4 linked regions of the Schizosaccharomyces pombe genome follow. The protein of the gene in region 1 purifies or fractionates together with the protein of each later gene. This does not show direct contact. Each region holds a gene or a part of one and is shown in the gene's direction. Other genes may lie near its edges.

What was found.
Region 2: the proteins of alp6 (region 1) and mad2 purify together in Schizosaccharomyces pombe (affinity purification with western blotting, with the first as the bait; one study listed by BioGRID). This does not show direct contact.
Region 3: the proteins of alp6 (region 1) and gtb1 purify together in Schizosaccharomyces pombe (affinity purification with western blotting; 3 studies listed by BioGRID, with this or other methods). This does not show direct contact.
Region 4: the proteins of alp6 (region 1) and gfh1 purify together in Schizosaccharomyces pombe (affinity purification with western blotting; 2 studies listed by BioGRID, with this or other methods). This does not show direct contact.

The regions. Positions count from the first base shown.
Region 1 is NC_003423.3:480,389-485,828, reverse strand, and holds alp6 (gamma tubulin complex GCP3 subunit Alp6), read left to right. Parts: upstream 1-2,000; 5' UTR 2,001-2,122; coding exon 2,123-2,250; exon of another isoform or gene 2,251-2,289; coding exon 2,290-2,351; exon of another isoform or gene 2,352-2,391; coding exon 2,392-4,223; exon of another isoform or gene 4,224-4,276; coding exon 4,277-4,753; 3' UTR 4,754-4,881; downstream 4,882-5,440. Other genes in the region: Ctf18 RFC-like complex subunit Ctf18, read left to right, coding at 1-1,256, 1,337-1,467, 1,517-1,880; U3 snoRNP protein Utp15, read left to right, coding at 4,933-5,250.
Region 2 is NC_003423.3:3,292,595-3,295,754, forward strand, and holds mad2 (mitotic spindle checkpoint protein Mad2), read left to right. Parts: upstream 1-1,680; coding exon 1,681-1,750; intron 1,751-1,791; coding exon 1,792-1,938; intron 1,939-1,984; coding exon 1,985-2,379; 3' UTR 2,380-2,601; downstream 2,602-3,160. Other genes in the region: nrl1 (NRDE-2 family protein), read left to right, coding at 1-278, 317-1,227, 1,272-1,438. UniProt on the Schizosaccharomyces pombe protein: Feedback control that prevents cells with incompletely assembled spindles from leaving mitosis. It interacts with the anaphase promoting complex/cyclosome (APC/C) thereby inhibiting APC/C-dependent proteolysis, a step required for exit from mitosis.
Region 3 is NC_003423.3:2,789,359-2,794,717, forward strand, and holds gtb1 (gamma-tubulin Gtb1), read left to right. Parts: upstream 1-1,992; 5' UTR 1,993-2,111; coding exon 2,112-2,160; exon of another isoform or gene 2,161-2,222; coding exon 2,223-2,335; exon of another isoform or gene 2,336-2,384; coding exon 2,385-2,438; exon of another isoform or gene 2,439-2,507; coding exon 2,508-2,984; exon of another isoform or gene 2,985-3,028; coding exon 3,029-3,493; intron 3,494-3,543; coding exon 3,544-3,659; intron 3,660-3,717; coding exon 3,718-3,784; 3' UTR 3,785-3,863; coding exon of another isoform or gene 3,864-4,369; 3' UTR 4,370-4,460; coding exon of another isoform or gene 4,461-4,593; 3' UTR 4,594-4,654; coding exon of another isoform or gene 4,655-4,669; 3' UTR 4,670-4,826; downstream 4,827-5,359. Other genes in the region: H2O2 scavenger glutathione peroxidase Gpx1, read right to left, coding at 1-189; protein Cwf12, read right to left, coding at 3,864-4,369, 4,461-4,593, 4,655-4,669. UniProt on the Schizosaccharomyces pombe protein: Tubulin is the major constituent of microtubules. The gamma chain is found at microtubule organizing centers (MTOC) such as the spindle poles or the centrosome, suggesting that it is involved in the minus-end nucleation of microtubule assembly.
Region 4 is NC_003423.3:3,882,256-3,886,245, forward strand, and holds gfh1 (gamma tubulin complex GCP4 subunit Gfh1), read left to right. Parts: upstream 1-1,594; 5' UTR 1,595-1,677; coding exon 1,678-3,411; 3' UTR 3,412-3,472; downstream 3,473-3,990. Other genes in the region: MCM complex subunit Mcm6, read right to left, coding at 1-741; sap10 (splicing factor 3B), read left to right, coding at 966-968, 1,031-1,113, 1,169-1,340; ubiquitin conjugating enzyme Ubc8, read right to left, coding at 3,757-3,990. UniProt on the Schizosaccharomyces pombe protein: Required for proper anchoring of astral microtubules at the spindle pole bodies (SPBs), during anaphase, ensuring correct cell polarity.

The DNA.
Region 1 (5,440 bases):
GGATAAAAGCTTGGGATCCTTGTGTGTTTGGAAAATCTCGATTACAGCCCTCAAAGAGTATGCGTTTTAACCCCAGATTTACTAATATCACTTCTGATAGTGATAGACCTGATAAACGGATTATGATGCTGACTGGACTGGCAGGTGCAGGTAAAACGACTTTGGCTCATGTTATTGCTCATCAGGCTGGATACAAAGTTTTGGAAATAAATGCTAGTGATGATCGTACTGCTCATACGGTTCATGAAAAGGTATCCTCTGCCATTAGCAATCATTCAGCCTTGTCATCTCAACCTACATGTGTTATAGTTGATGAAATTGACGGAGGTGATCCTGCATTCGTACGAGCACTTTTGAGTTTATTAGAGAGTGACGAAAAAGCGACTGAGTATTCTCAAGCTGGTAATTCAAAGAAAAAGAAAAAGTTTAAGAAACTTTGTCGTCCCATTATTTGCATTTGTAATGACTTATATACTCCAGCACTTCGACCTCTGCGACCATATGCTCAAATAATATATTTTCGACCACCTCCTCAAGCATCTCTTGTCGGTCGTTTAAGGACTATTTGCCGAAATGAAAATATAGCTGTTGACAGCCGCTCTTTGACTTTGCTGACAGATATCTATAATTCTGACATTCGAAGCTGTATCAACAGTTTACAACTTTTGTCTTTAAATAACAAACGTATAGATTCTGAGACCATAAAGCTTTTGCAACCAAAAAGTAATTCTTTTAGTACTTCTAGTTTAATCCAATCTCTTTTTTTACAACTTGATAATAAACAAATACGTGCAATTGAAGCATCGCAACCTACTTACTCACATTTGGACGCCCTCCTTGCAAGGATTGATGGAGCTAATGATTCTGAATCAGTCTTGATGAATTGTTTTCATACATACTTAGATCTTCCTTTTACTGATAGCTTACTTTCTAAACCTGCTTTGACAAGCGAGTGGCTTTACTTTTTCGACCAACTTCATTCACAATGTTATAAGGGAAATTATGAGTTATGGAGGTACATACCTTATTCCATTATTCATTTTCATTATTTGTATGCAACTCCTGAAAAGTGCCGCCTTCCGCATCCTCCCAGAAGTGATTTGGAAGCTTTAAAACTTTATCGTACTCGCAAAGAAATATTGGATTCATTCATATCGACGCTAAATGCTTATGAAAATCAAATGCATGGAGAAAGATCAATTCTTTTGGAACTTATCCGTACAATTTTAATTACCATAAATCCTACACTAAAACAGGTAAGGTCTATATATTTTAAAAAAAAAAAAAAAAAAAATTGCGTGAAACAATATTTTTTTAATTTACTAACTTTTTATAGAAAGAAGATTCTATGCCAAGGAGCGCTTTACCTTCTAAAATTGAGCATGCGATTAACATTTTAAATCATTATAATTTGCGTTTCCAACAGCTTCCCGTTGGAGATGGCAACTATGTGTATAGGCTTGAGCCGTAAGTTCCAATATTTTTATTTCTTTCTAGTAATAGCTAACGTTGACAGACCTTTGGATGAATTGGTTTGGGACGCACCTACAAGTTCATATTCTGTTCGTCAAATGCTATCTCAGGAACTGCTCAAGAAAAGGCTCGCAGACATTAAAAAACAAACCCTAACGGACAACCCCACTTCTTCGAATTCTTCAAGAAAGCGCAAAGATTTTAATTCCGGAAAAGCAATTAAGAGAGATTTTTTTGGCCGTATCATTTCTGAACCAAAATCTGAAGCAGTTACATCGAATAATGCAGCTTTGAATACAGGAGATCATCCAGTTTCCATCAAGCATGCAATCAATATCAAATTTCACGATGGGTTTTCCAATGCTGTGAGAAAACCAATATCGTTGAACGAGATTCTGAATTTCTAATCTAATGTGCATTAATATTTTTAATTTCAATCTTTTTGAAATAAAATCAATCATTTAATTTAAAAAAAAATCACTAGTAAAAATAGGTGTATGCGTAAATTCATCTAACCATTATTTCCTGACCGCGACTTCGGCGTGTACTTTGTCAATGGCTTTAAGATTTTGAGTTAACGATCAATACTTGTATTTCTCTATTTTAATTCAAAAATAAAAAAAATACTTTCGTCATTTGAAGTTCTCAAATGTCGGAGATTCATGTGAAAACTGCATTATCACGTCTGGCGGACAAGTATTTACAGAACTCCAAAAACCCTTCTGTCCCTTACACAATTGAAACGATCGTGTCTTTCTTTCAGGAAATAATTCACTCGTAAGCTAATTTCGTGTAAATGATCATGCTAACTGTTAGCATTTCTCCTGATACTTTTCAACTGGACATTGATGACATTCTGTACAAAATATATTCAAAAAGTATGTGAAGGTCTAAATACCAAAATTAACAGTTTTTTAGTTCCCCCCGAAGAAAACAATGATGCTTTATTTTCTAAATTATCTAACTTAGTTTCGCGTTTGAAAAGTCAAACGGTCATTCACAACAAATCTCAAATACTCTATTTCTTATACTTGCTCTCTCCTATTTCTCAGTCATCAAGAGATGTCTCCTCTCATTTATTAGATGAGTCTATTTCCAATCCTATCAATATTCCATCAACAGAAGTGGAATCCTCAAACTTTGGTCAGACACGTTACGATCAAGTTCCTGAAAACCCCCAAATTACTGATTGGGATGAAGGATTGGAAAATGAAAGTTCTATCTCAATTGCTCATGATTCATCTAGGCTAAACCGTAGTACTGAAACTTCTTCTGTTCAACATACTTTGATTACAGAAGCCGATTTGTTGTCTTCAATATCTTACGTACTTCAAGGAATTTCTACCGAATATGTTCAGTTTAAAAATGAATTAGCGCTGTTGTCTAAGAGAATACCTGTCCAATACCTTTTACAGATGCGAGCTCTTTCAGAGACAGGCTTATTATATCAGGAACTAAAGGTTTTCAGCAATTATGATCCTTCGGTCAGTCAATCCATTGATGGTGATAACGTTAGTAAAGCATTTATAAACGATCAGTCTTTAGCTTTACAAAGTTTAAAATCGGTCATTTCTAAAGAGCTGACTAATTTCCTTGCGTTAATTGCATCTCTGGATTCACAAATTCGAGCAGACGCTTCACTTGAGAAGCCTATGGTAACTATCCGGCGTTGCATTGCCTGGACGCAAGTTGCCAAGCTAAAACTTAGAATTTTGTCTTCAGTTGTTAATGATAATATGAACCAGGAGAATAAAAAAAGATTGATTCAAGTGGTTTCGAAATACAATGTGCATGGAGATCCGCTAATACAAGAATTGAGTGATAAAATACTAACAGAAATTACTGGACCTTTATACGAAATGATTGAAAACTGGATTTATAAAGGAGAATTGGTCGACCCTTATCAAGAATTTTTTGTTAAAGAAAAAAATGGTAGTGAAAGCCATGATCATCAAGGGCAAGGTGATGTCGTCTGGAAAGGTAAATATTTTTTAGACAAAGAGTTAATACCAAGTTTCCTTTCTGAAGAACTTGTCGACAAAATCTTTTTGATTGGAAAGAGTTTAAACTTCGCACGTTATGGATGTGGTGATTTTGACTGGGCACAAGAGCATTACCAGAAGCTAGTGAAAAAACTTAGTTATAGAGACCCTCATTCATTAGAAACAGTGGTTGATAAGGCGTATACTGAGTCCATTAATCACTTAGTATACTTGATGGAAGAGGTGTTTCATTTGACTGATCATTTAAAGGCTATCAAAAAATACCTTTTACTAGGACAAGGTGATTTTGTGGACTTATTAATGGAGAGCCTTGGTAATTCTTTGGATCAGCCGGCTAATACTTTGTTCAGACACAATTTGACTGCTTCTTTAGAAAGCGCCATTCGTTCAAGTAATGCATCTTATGAACCTGAATACGTATTAAAAAGATTGGATGCTAGGCTTCTGGAGCTTTCACATGGTGAAACTGGTTGGGATGTTTTTACGTTGGAGTATAAAGTTGATTCACCTATCAACGTAATAATAACACCATATTGCTCTAGACAATACTTAAAAATATTTAACTTTTTATGGAGGTTGAAACGAATTGAGTTTGCCCTTGCCCATTCCTGGAGGCGAGTAAATTTGGGCGAGCGAAATGTCTTCAGAAATCTGGATTACACAAAATTCGAATGGCATTTTGTCAGTTGTCATCTTGCGGAAATGATTCATTTTGTTTGTCAACTTCAATATTATATACTCTTTGAGGTAACGAAAAACCAAAACCCAATTTTGCATTGTATACTAACCATTGGAAACAGGTTATCGAAATTAGTTGGCAAGAATTACAGCTTGCTATGGAGAAACCAAACGCTACATTGGATACGTATATAGAGGCACATGAAAAATATGTTACTAGTATAACTCATAAGGGCTTGTTGGGTGGTGGTAAGTCAAGGAATGAAGATTCCTTCCTTCATCAGCTTCATGATATACTTAAAGTTATCTTAAACTTTCATGATGCAATTGAGTTGTTGTATAACTTTTCTTGCTCCCTGTCGAATAGAATTCGCATTAATGTACCAATTTCGACTGATGCTTTGGCAGCTCAATACACCCCTATAAAAAATGAACTCTCAAATTTTACTGAGGAATTCCAGGTTCGACTTCAAAAATTATTACATGGATTAGCTTCCCATAAGGACCCAGAAATGCGCTTTCTTTCCGTTCGTCTCAATTATAACGAATTCTACGTTTCTCATAGACGGCGTCATGATAAGGATGTTACCAGTCAATAAATGAGGTTCATGCATGATTATTTAAACTTTTATTACTCGTAGTAAACTATAAATTTAGTTATTAATATTTAATGTGATTTAACTATCGTTCAGCGGTGCTGTTTAATTTGCCTTTGCCAACCACCAACACCACCCACCCATTTGGTTAACTTTTTTCAGCAACCACATATACGGATATCATGTCCGCGCCTGCTGGTAGACTTCAACCTCAGCGTTTTGCTGCTTTACCTAATCCCGTTACTGCTGAAAATAAATTTTGGCGGTCATTCAAGGTTCCTGTCGTTGCCAAGGAATATAGTGCTATCACTAGTATTCATTTTTCCGCTGAATCCCCTTATGACTTTGCAGTAACTAGTGGGGCTCGTGTACAAATTTATGGAGCTAGTTCAAGGTCTGTTAAAAAAACAATTGCTCGATTTAAGGATACCGCATATTCTGGTAACATTAGAAAGGATGGAAAACTTTTGCTTGCAGGAGATGCTACAGGACTTGTACAGGTAAGTCTACATTACCAAAAGCTTTGAAAGATAGTTGCAATTAAAACGTTGATAAGCTGCACATGGAATTTTGTTAGTTTAGTTTAGCTGATTGAAGCTGTCATTTGCTAGTATATAGCTAAAAAAATACCATTTTTCCGGTGTTTGTCAACGCTTTAAACTTACTTTAGAGGTTTTCTTGTTGCCATTG
Region 2 (3,160 bases), 2.8 Mb from region 1:
TCCTTTATAAATGGACAGATAGCTGAGAAAAACAGCTTTCAATTTCCCTGTAGTATACTACCTTCATACATTGATCTCTTCATTTCTCTTATGTCGTTTAAAAATTTAAATTTCAAGTTATTTGATTACAACCTTGCACATCATGTGAAGGAATCAATGGAGCGTGCTTTTCATCAACTAGTATTTTCGGCGGACGATGAGTATTTAGCGAGCGTTTATTTAATTTATTTAAAGCAAATGGAGACGAAGAACCTAAGTGAGGAGAAACCCCAAGTGAAGTAAGTAGATGTTTTTGTTTCCTTCTAACCAAATTCAGTAAAATTGTAAAGAAGATTCTCAAAAAATACGATAGTTCAGTGTCTGTTTGGAACACTTACGCTCAATTGGAACACTTAAGTGGTGCTTTTACTATGGCTGAAACAATTTTTAAAACAATTTTTCAGATCCATGCTTCCCAATTGCGCTACATTGATAATTTAAATGTATACAAAAACTGGGCTTTTAGAAAGCTACTTATTAATGATACTGAAGGATGCTTAGTTATTATAAAATGCCTGTTGTTTCCTGGTGATAAATCTTTAACTAGCGATAATAATCGAGCATCCGAAATGCTATTTGGTATGTTGGAAAATTGCGCCAGCAAGGAAGAATTGCTGTATGTTTGTCTTATCTATACTATATGGACACACTGTACTGATATGGATTCAATGGATAATTGTGTGTATTTATGCATTCAAAAATTCGAAAGCTATGGATGGGGGGCTTCTTCAGAAATGGAATGCTATTTTTCTTATTGTTCATTGATTTTTTATTATCAAGCTACCACTCTTCAATTCTATAATCTACCCAAGGTTCGACCTTTTTTTGAAAAGGGAGTTACACTTTTCAGTGCAAATACGGCTATATGGGAAGTTTATATATTTTTTGAATCTAAGTTGAGACAAGAGAACAAACCAAAAATTAGGGCTATGAAAATTTTAAAATCTGCTTCAAATGCTGTTGTTACAGCTTGTTGGTACCTTTTTTATGTTGCCGTTCAACAGATTGAGCCAACAAACTCACAGTACTTTTTAAGGACTTTGGATATCACTCTAAATAATGAAAAGTTGAAATCCGTCGCCAAGTTTTGGAGAATATATTTAAAGATTCTCAATTTGCGATTAAATGGTACTGAATGGGTTTCGGCGATTACCACCAAAGCATTGGCTTCCTGCCCCTGTAATAAAGGTAAGTTAATTAAAAACATAGAACATTTCACTGACTAAGTTTAGGGGTTTGTATGGACGTTATAGACTTGCTCTTGAAAAAAGAGATGGAGAGTCGGGCTATTATTTGCTATATAATCATGTTGGAAAAAGGCTTTAGAGTCCATAACGAAATAAGGAGAGATGTTTTAAAGTTTGAAAGAGGAGATGAACTTATTTTGTCCCCAAACTGACATTATTACGATCAATGACTTTTAATGATAGAGATAGTGAAATGAGTTTAAAATGACAGATTAGTTACTTTCAAGTTTGCGTAAATGCTTTAGTAGTCTTATTATTAAAGTTTTCACTTTTGTTTGTTAAATGCTTATATGGTTGCTTTTACGTTGAAAGGGTACCTCTAAGCAACCATCATGGCAGTACCTACTCAATTACTACACAACCTATTGCTTATTACAAAAATCTACAACACAACATGTCTAGCGTTCCCATAAGAACGAATTTTTCACTGAAAGGTTCTTCCAAACTTGTTAGCGAATTTTTTGGTTTGTAAATGTTTCAAATATGCCATGCTAACTTAATGAAGAATATGCGGTGAACTCAATCCTTTTTCAACGAGGAATTTACCCAGCAGAAGACTTCAAAGTTGTTCGGAAATATGGATTAAATATGCTTGTCAGTGTAGATGAAGAGGTCAAGACTTACATTCGAAAAATTGTATCTCAGTTACACAGTGAGTTGTTGTTCTATTATCACTTTTGGAATTAACAAATTTTTAGAATGGATGTTTGCAAAAAAAATTCAAAAACTGATTTTGGTAATTACTAGTAAATGTTCAGGTGAAGATTTAGAGCGGTGGCAGTTTAATGTGGAGATGGTTGACACAGCTGATCAATTTCAGAACATTGGCAACAAAGAAGATGAACTGCGAGTACAAAAAGAAATTCAAGCTCTAATTCGTCAAATCACTGCTACAGTGACCTTTTTGCCTCAACTAGAAGAACAGTGTACGTTTAACGTTTTGGTATACGCTGATAAAGACAGCGAAGTTCCAACAGATTGGGTAGACAGTGACCCTAGGATTTTAAGAGATGCTGAACAAGTTCAATTACGAAGTTTTAGTACGAGTATGCACAAAATTGATTGTCAAGTTGCATATCGAGTGAATCCTTAGTTGTTTTTTTTGGCATGATCCTTACCTATTAGATGAGATAATAGAAAACAAAGCTTTGATGTGTTCTATAAATCTCAAAATTCCGGCCATATTGTTTAACTATAATTCGGTGAATCCTATGTTTGTTTTAATGTCCAATATTTATAATTTTGTGACGCATCTCTATTCTATCCATTTATTTAATAATACTTTTGCATTCTTTAAAATATAATCATCTTCTCTTATTCATTAAACAAAATACACTATAGCAACAGCTCGCAATGATGTTTTCATTGAAACTTTGCGGCAGTAAATCAACATTTTAAACTGATGGTAGCATTTGCGAGGTAAGATTCTATATGCCAAGGTAACGACATTCATCTCTTGAGGTAGGTTTCTGACTACAAAATGAACACAGTAGCAAATAATTTAACAGAATTGAACAATGTGTATATCATTTTAAATATCAAAGTTAGAAATTCTAATTTAGTCAAGACGTGTTCCTCAATTTTTTTAAGACTGTTGAGAAGCTGGAATATTATTGTTAACGGAGTTTTCCGTATTTAATAACATTATCACTAATAAACATTAACTCGCGTTATCTATTAATAACGATTCAGTATGTATGACATCTATTCATCAGTTACTTAGCCTTTACTAGTACTGAGTGTGAATCATCGTTTCCTCAGAGAATACCAAGACTTGGACGGTTCCTCTTTTCTCTTTGCTTCTTGAATTTTGGGGCTATCTAGTTTTTTTTTGAAATTTCTTAAAGATTTATTCTTAAAAGCTTGAGGATTTC
Region 3 (5,359 bases), 2.3 Mb from region 1:
AGGGAATCCAAGGATGATAAATCCTCTATCCTTGTATTTCTGATACAACGCCTCAAGACCTTTGTATTGAGGAGTGAATCCACATTTGCTCGCTGTATTGACAACAAGGACCACTTTACCCTTCAAGTTGCTGAAAGGAAAAGGATTTCCATCCTTGTCCTTAGGAGCCAAGTCGTAGAAATGAGACATTTTAACTTACAAAACTCAATACTAATAGAATGAGTAGGTTGAAAGTAAGGTGTAGCGCGGCTGACCGTCCTACTTATGTTTCCAGCTGACCTTATTTCATAATGACATCAGACCTTAGTTTGGGTCAACACGATCTTTTAACAAGAGAAATTTACGTAAAATTAATAAAAATTCCAAGGAAGAAAAGTCGGATCGCATTTATCAAAAGAAATCTTATTTATTTAATCAGTCTCACATTCTTTTTCCTTTGTTTGCTGCTTTTAAAGTTAAAAAAAGGATATGTCGCAGTATACTGCCATTGTCTTTTGTCAACATACCACCAAAATGACAGAAATTTTTGCTGCTATTTAGTAAAAATATTTCAAATTTCGTATTTGTAAAGGTTATGCATAGAATGGCTGAGACTCATACTTAAACAGTATAGGTATCTAAACATTGTATGGGGCGATTGTAGCAGCAAACGATTAAGTAGTTTGCGTTAGTTACAACACCTAGTAATGGTTTGCTACCTTTTGTTTAAAATAATAGTAGACGAGATTGCCAATGGCCGATGTTGTTTATCTTAAAGTTGAAAGTGAAGCGAAACCTTTTTCTAACTTTAAGAGTGGGATTTCTTCCATCCAAAAGAATATGCACTGCAACAAGATATAGGACACAGGCAAATTATTTGACAAAAACAAGGAACCGTATAACTACTTTTTTACTTTAATCTACAAATAAATTAGTAGGATGTAGAAAAAGGTATCAGTGATAGATTATTTATGTATTATCTTAAAAGTATTGTTTTTTGCCCTTTGAAGGGCAAAAAGCAAAAAGGATCAAAATTATGCTCCAGCAGTGACTTGAACACTGGGCCTCTTGCTTACTAGGCAAGCGCTCTACCACTGAGCTACAAGAGCTAGTTGGAATCATTTGCTAAAAGGTATATATATATGCATAACTATTAAGAAATGCTCAGTATTTTTTTGAAATAGAAAATGTTGATATTCGGTTTCTATTATTAAGTTTTAAATTCCAAACATTGTAAATATGTCGTCGTTCTTTACATTCTTTTTTTAATAAATCTTGGTTTAAGTTAAAACCCAATTTTACAAGCTCGCAACTTTGTTGTTAATAAAAAAAAATGTTACACCTGCTAAATAAATATTAAAATCAAACTGTTGTTGTGTGGTATTACCTTATTGAGCTTAATTATAATTTCAGTAAAAATTTATGTTCAATTTTTTTTTTTACTTTCAATTAATTTATTTATTTATTAATTTGTAAAATATTTAGACCTTTGCCAAATAATTATTTGTTAATTTTTCATTTTCTACAATCTGTATTAATTAAGATAAAATTGTCTTCAAAAATACTTTTAGTTTTTGGAAAATCATTTGTTTCAGTGTTTGAGTATCCACATGAATTGTCTAATTTTATATCACTATTATTTTTTTATTCGAACACTCATAAATTGTGTCTATTGTGTTACTTTCAATTTTAATATTTACATTCAAAGTTGCATATATTTTTTACGAAATAATGTACTAAATGATTTAGAAATATTTAGATACGATAGTAATCAATACTAAATTTTATGACACATTCTAAATTCACTTACTTTGGCTTTCTAATTTCCTGTTAGAAAAATTGTCATTCCTAATTGAATTTTGCAGCAATGCTCGAATCAGCTCCAAGGTTGATAAATTTATAGTCAAGAAATATGTAATTATTTATAATAATCTAGTCTAGTTGACCTGGAAAATGTTTGCTTTTCTTACTACCAACCTTCTCTTATCGACCTACAGTTCACCCAAGCACAGCGAAATACCTCAAGATACCCTTCTTTTGAAAACCACCTATTTCAGCAAAAAATCTTTCGCGGTTGTACTTTTAAGTAAGAAGCAAACATCAAAGATTGTTTGCTCCTTCATTGTTTAATCATGGGCAGAGAAATCATTACGTTACAAGCTGGTCAATGTGGTAATCAAAGTATGTTCACCTATACTACTATTAATCAAATCGAAATTCTAATTACTCACAAACTTGTCTAGTTGGTTCACAATTCTGGCAACAGTTGTGTTTGGAACATGGCATTGGGCCTGATGGCACGCTAGAAAGTTTCGCAACTGAGGGTGTTGATCGAAAAGACGTTTTTTTCTACCAGGTTGGTTTATTGATACACTTTAAAGTTTCAACATGTTAACTCATTTTAGTCTGATGATACTAGATACATTCCTAGAGCCATTTTGATTGATCTGGAACCAAGAGTATGTTATCGCATCCTTTTATTAGTATTTGCTGAAATATTCAAGTGACTAATGTCCTCTTTACCTTAGGTGGTCAACAATATTCTAAGCGACACCTACGGCAGCCTTTATAATCCCGAAAATATACTTATTACCAAAAATGGAGGAGGTGCTGGCAATAATTGGGCTAATGGTTATTCGCATGCTGAGAGGATTTTTGAAGATATAATGGACATGATAGATCGTGAAGCTGATGGAAGTGATTCTCTAGAGGGTTTCTCGCTTTTACATTCTATCGCTGGTGGAACGGGTTCTGGGCTGGGCTCTTTCTTGCTTGAGAGATTAAACGATCGTTATCCCAAGAAGATTATCCAAACTTATTCAGTATTCCCTAATAGTCAATCCGTATCAGATGTTGTGGTTCAGCCTTACAACAGTCTTCTTGCATTGAAGCGACTGACATTGAATGCTGATTCTGTTGTTGTGTTGGACAATGCAGCACTTGCTCATATTGCTGCTGATCGGTTACATACTCAGAACCCTACGTTTCATCAACAAAACCAATTGGTAATTGATTTATATTAGGTCTTTTCATCAACTAACTATTCTAGGTTTCAACTGTTATGTCTGCCAGTACAACAACTTTAAGATATCCTGGCTACATGAACAACGATCTTGTCAGTATAATAGCTTCATTAATTCCAAGTCCTCGCTGTCACTTTTTACTAACCTCATACACTCCTTTTACCAATCAGCAAGTGGAAGAAGCAAAGGCCATTCGGAAAACTACCGTGCTTGATGTGATGAGAAGGTTGTTGTTGCCTAAAAACCAGATGGTTTCCGTCAATCCTAGCAAAAAGAGTTGCTTTATTAGTATTTTGGATATCATTCAAGGAGAAGCAGATCCGGCGGACGTTCACAAATCCTTGCTTCGCATAAGAGAACGACGATACGCTTCATTCATTCCTTGGGGACCAGCAAGTATACAAGTTGCACTTTCTAAAAAGTCGCCCTATATAAAAACGAACCACCGTGTTAGTGGACTTATGCTTGCAAATCACACTAGTATTGCCTCTGTATGTTTCTGCAAATTTTTTTTTGAGACATTTAATACTAATCTTTGTAGTTATTCAAGAGAACACTAGATCAATATGATCGTTTGCGGAAACGAAATGCCTTTTTAGAGCAATATAAAAAGGAGGCTATTTTCGAAGATGATCTTAACGAATTCGATTCTTCTCGGTAAGTATCTTGTCTTATAATTTCATATTTTGAGTTAATTTACTAATGTATTTGACAGCGACGTCGTTGCCGACTTGATCAATGAATACGAAGCTTGTGAAGATCCCAATTATTTATCTCTTTAAAAAATCCTTCATAGTTTACGATGTCAAAGCAGACTTAAAATATAAAATTAATTCTCCTATCCTAGTCCTACTTCATAATCTATGAAATTCTGCTCAGCAAAGCATTTTTACGCCTTTCTAAAAGAATGGCTTCAACATCGTCTCTAGTTGGTATTTGCTCAATGACAAGAGGTTTCCAATCTTGTTCAACTTCATCACCAAGGTTCTCAAGATGTTTATGTTGTTGTTCTTCAATCTTTGCCTCAAAATCTTCTAATAGACTCTCTTGTGCTGGCGGTATGTAACCAAAGTACCAGGCGTCTAACCTTCTTTTCTGCATCTCCTGTTTGCGCTGTCTTTCCGGTATAAAACTCATATCAGCTTCAAAAAGTTCCTTAACGCCAGGTAACTCTCGAGCTCTTCCGTAATAACGATAATCGTCTATATCACTGATTTGTTCTCCTTCATCCTCAAATAGCTTTGCTTTATTATACAGATAATTAATCCCACCCAGATCACGAATTTGTACCTCCCATTCGTGTTTTTCACGCATCAATCGATTAATTGCATCGTTCAAATCTCGAATTTGATATTCAGGCAACGTTGCTATTCATGGTTAGAATACACAGAAATGATAAAAGCGGAATCAAGTTTAGCAAGTTAATTAAATTTGCTAATAAAACAATCTAGGACGTACCACTTTGAATTCGAGAGATCTTGCGAGAGATATCTTTTACTACACTAGCCCTATGTTTTTCACATATCGGCACAGACTTAATGCTTTTTATATCCTTGGGTCTCTTTTCCGTTGGTTTGCTGCCCACTACATACTATAACAAAGGGGTTAGTGACTGACGCTTAGGTTCTCATGCATATTCGTATGAACCTTACTTTCGCTGATGACATTGTAAAATTAAATGAAAATGATAGACTTGGTAATTAAAAAAATAGAGAAGGAAAGGCTCATTAAAATTTGACACAGAAAATAAATAATATAGACAAGTTTTATGGTATTTATCGAAATCAAGGCAAACCCAACACTTAATTAATTGACCTTCAACAGCCAATTCTTATTTAAGTACTTGAAAATTTGCTCAAGTTCCACCGATTGTGAAGACAAGCAAAAAACTTATAAGCAAGAAATTGAATGCATACAAGTAGTTATTTCGTGTAAGAAACACTTTATAAAACGGAAAAGAACAGCCAAAGTGAATAAGCTTATTGAAGCGCAACAAGCTTCTTAATTCATGGATAACGAAGTCCTCTTCTAAAAAAAGTACTAGTCTAAATAGTAACTAAGTATTTTATGTTCACTACAATTAAAGGATGATATTATTGCATAAATGGTCCCTTTCAAAATGATTACCACTTTTAATCCATCGTATTCAATATACTGTCAAGAATTAGGCAATTGTTGATGAAGTAGGTAACATCAATCATTTGGAAAAGTTCATTTCATCTCTTTGGTATCGGCTTTAACCTAAAAAAGAGTTGTTTATAAGAGATTAGCAGAACGATTTATAAGTATACAGTTGATTTTTTGAATATCTTACAAAGACTTAAAATTAAACAATCGTTGAGACCGTCAAAATCGTT
Region 4 (3,990 bases), 3.4 Mb from region 1:
AAATGCTTGCTCAACATTTGAAACTACAGTGTGGCATTCCTCACAGATAAAAGTACCTTGTGCTAATTCAGGGCGTACTTCAGAAGTACGAGTAACTGTACCTGTAATAGTCGTGAGTCTACCGATACGATCTGTTCGTAAGTCCCGAATTGTGGATCGAAAGGGTAAATTGTAAAATGCAAGAGCAAATGTTTTGTCACTGGCTTTAAAGTTCGGTGAAAGTGAAGCATTTTCACGAGAAAGAGAACTTCTATAATATTCTGGTTCAAACTTTTCAATCAACTTTTGTAAAGCTCGAAGTAAGAAAGGAGAAAATCGATAATATTGCTCAACTATCGCAAGAGCTAACACATCATTGTACGAGGTTAAATGCTTATAATCAACGTAAACGGTATGAATCTCATACATTGCCAATCCATGAATCTGTTGAACATAATATTTCTCTTGTGATGCAGAAGGGAGAGCATCACCTCCAGCAACGCGGTCATCAGAAAATGACAATAAAAACTCTTCAAAGGCTTCACGTACTGATTCTCCGGTTGTATCAATTACCTTTGGTATGGCTTCTCCTATAGCAGCAAAAGGTTTCCTTTTCACCATTCCATCATCCTCGAGCATAGCACTCGACTCAGGTTGTGAAGGCATACTTACAGTTGGCCTGTCCCCAACTTCTGAAGTTTGAAACCCATAACGATATGCAGGAGTTGAAGCATTATTACCCTGAGATGCAAGAGAAGACATCTTCAAGTGTAGTGCTCCCTATTATCAAAAAACTGCAACTACAGGTTTTTGGTCAAAGGATAGCAATGTTTATTTTGAAACGTTTATTTCTGTGGTTGCTTTGGTGCGCTAGAAATCGCAATTTAGAATTGCAAATTACAGTATTATACCTTATTCGTTTCAATTAACAATATGTGTTAAAAAAACCCAGTCTGAACATTATACCACATATTCCAATATATACTATGGTAAGAAAAAAATTCTTGAATTATCTCTATTCTATGCTTCTTTCATTTATTAACGATTGTAGGCAGACAGGTTGCGCTCTCAAGCAAAACTAGAACAGTTACAAGCGCGTTATGTTGGTGTCGGTAATGCGTTTACCACCAAATAGTAAGTACTAATCGGTTTATTTGACAAATGAATTTTCGCTCACCATATAAACTAGTGAATGGATGGTAAATCAGCACCGGGATACTTTGTCTTCTGTAGTGGGGCATCCACCGTTGCTCGCATATATGGCAACGGCGCTCGGCGAACCGAGAGTCCAAGTTCGCAAAAACCTATTAGAAAAAATGATCATGCCATGTGGACCACCTCCCCCTTCTAATCAATTTTAAAGTGTTGTGTTTACCTGTTGCCCAAAATTAATGTCGTTAAACCTTCGCTCGTCTGAGACTTTGTTTGTTTAAGATAAACAGTACCTACTAGGTTATTACAAAATAATATATATATATATATATATATATATATATTAATTGAATTATATGCAATGCTACATTGATTATTGTTCATTGTAACAACGCAAGACATTCCCTAGTCGTTACCTTCAAAGTAACACGAATAAGTTTTAGCTATTTATCTCATTTACTACGAAAGCCTCCTTTGGAGTAGTTTACTTAAATTGGCTATATGTTGAATATTTTCATGCAAACTCTGTAACAATAAATACATTATATGTTGCATGAGATTATTTTGTTGCTCGCAGGGAATACTTCTGGCCTGTTTATTGAGAAAAATGGTCAAATACTACTGCATCCATCTGTTCAACCATTACACCCTGGTGAACGAGAATTAATTAATGACATAGTATCTTTGGCAAGTAAAAGGAAAAGGATAGAACGATATATTGAAATTTTTGATGAAGATTTGATTCAGCAAAACCAGTTTCTTCTTAAAGCTCTTAGACTTCTGCTTTCGAAAAAATTATTTCTTTATGATGAAAGTCTAGCTAATTTAGAGCGGATGATTATATCCAGCGATCCTTATTTTGTAGGTTCCGGAAAATTCGTATCCTTGGCGCAATTAGAAGCGCATTTAGCAGATTGGAAAGAAACTTTATCTAGTCTGCTAGTACTTCAAGGTAATATTTCTCAATGCTTGAGTGTAGCTTCTACGTTTCAAAAGCTGCATAATATGTATATGGGCTCTACTCATTTGAATTTTAAAAAGCTGGTTTTAGAGTGTGAATGTGCTTTTCAGAAGACTTGGCTTGACGAATTAGTGCAGTATTTGGTAAATGATTCCGGCGATGACAGCTTCAAATGTTCGTTTTTATGCGGTGATACTAAAGATTTTGTATCTTGTAGCAATAATGTCCCTTTTTTGACCCAAGACATCGTTAATTGCTTAGTTTCAATACGAACGTGTATGCTCAATGCAAAAAAATGTTTCACAGACGCTTTCTGTGAAATTCTTAGATGTTTCTACAGACTGGTATATGAAATGCCTTTGCCTTTAACGAAATCTTCAGTGACAAAATTAGCAGATGAAATGTTCACTCTGGTATCAGAAAAAATAATATTTCAATTAGCTTCGTTTCATCAGATTTTCGATTTGGTAAAAATGCTAGAGATGGTGATGTTACTTGAAAATGTTGAGTTTCTTCCAACATTATCTGAAATGTTCAGAGACGTTCGTGGTGAATATTGCAGTTCAAATGACGTTCAAGGGGTAGTAATTGATGATATTTTACCCGTTGTTTTAAGGAAAACTATTTCTTTACTTGATCTCGCTACTGAATATGGAGAATGTGTATCTTTTCTAAAACTTGTAAGTATCTTTGATGAAGAAGATGAAATGATTCGCTCTGAGAATCGTAAAATCGATGTAGAGGGACTCAATATGCAACTGTTATTGTGTTTAAAATGGCCGTTCAATTTGTTTATGGATAAAAATGCTTTAAATGTGTATTCCGATTTATGGATACTACTAGGTTCTTTACACTTAAGTATAACTAAAATCAAATCCCTTTTTTACGAAAGAAAGGAGTATACTGCCAAAGGTATTTCTCAACCATGGACTCAATTGTGGGTGACTTTATGGTTCTTATCATCTTTACAATATTATGCCTACGAATGTGTTATAAAGCCGTCATATTGTAAATTACGGGAATCTCTTACTGAGTTATATAGAACACAAAAGTTACGTATGCAAGACTGTTCTCAATTGCATGCTTTAACGTTGACTTACGCTAAGAAAATGTTGTTTTTTTACGATGATGATTTACACATTTCTTTAAACTCGATTTACCATGAGCTTTCTTTATTTCGTAGTCAAGAAGTTTCGAAAGTTGACTGTCAGTTAGCTGCTCACGTATCTCATTCGATTGAATGCATACGACAGAAAGAAAATGATCCATCGTATGATAGGGAAATAATTAACGCGCTGATTGTTCAGCTTAATTTATAGGTAGATATGATCAATGTATTTATTTAATATTTTTTTTCTATTTTATTTAAATATTAGTTCTCATTAACTATGCATCATGGAGTTATAGTCGTAAATTATGCTGCAGTAACTTGAAGCTTCAAGAAAATAAACCTATTAAATATCGTTGTCACGACTACTGATTGAAAGCAAATTCAAACGGGTTTTGCAAGCGACAGCATGCAAAAAGAATCATTCAATGCATCAATAGAAAAAAAAGTGTAACAGATTTAGCTATCCATCGGTTTATTGAATGCCACAATCAGTATCCATAAAGAGAATTCAAAAAAGAATCAATGTATATCAAACAAAGCAACGTAACGAAATTTAAAAATCAGAGTCCATTGGACCAGCAATTTCATCGCCAGATTCAGTGTCAATAGAAGACATGGTGTCATCATCTGAAGAGTCGTTCAAAGTTATATCAGCGTCTTCTTTATTAGCATACCGAGCGATATAATCTCGAACCTTGGCATAGTAGGTATTCGGCTCTCGCAATAATAGAGCTGCTGCCTCTCCATTTAGAGGGTCCGACGCATTAGGATAACGGAGTAGCTGTGG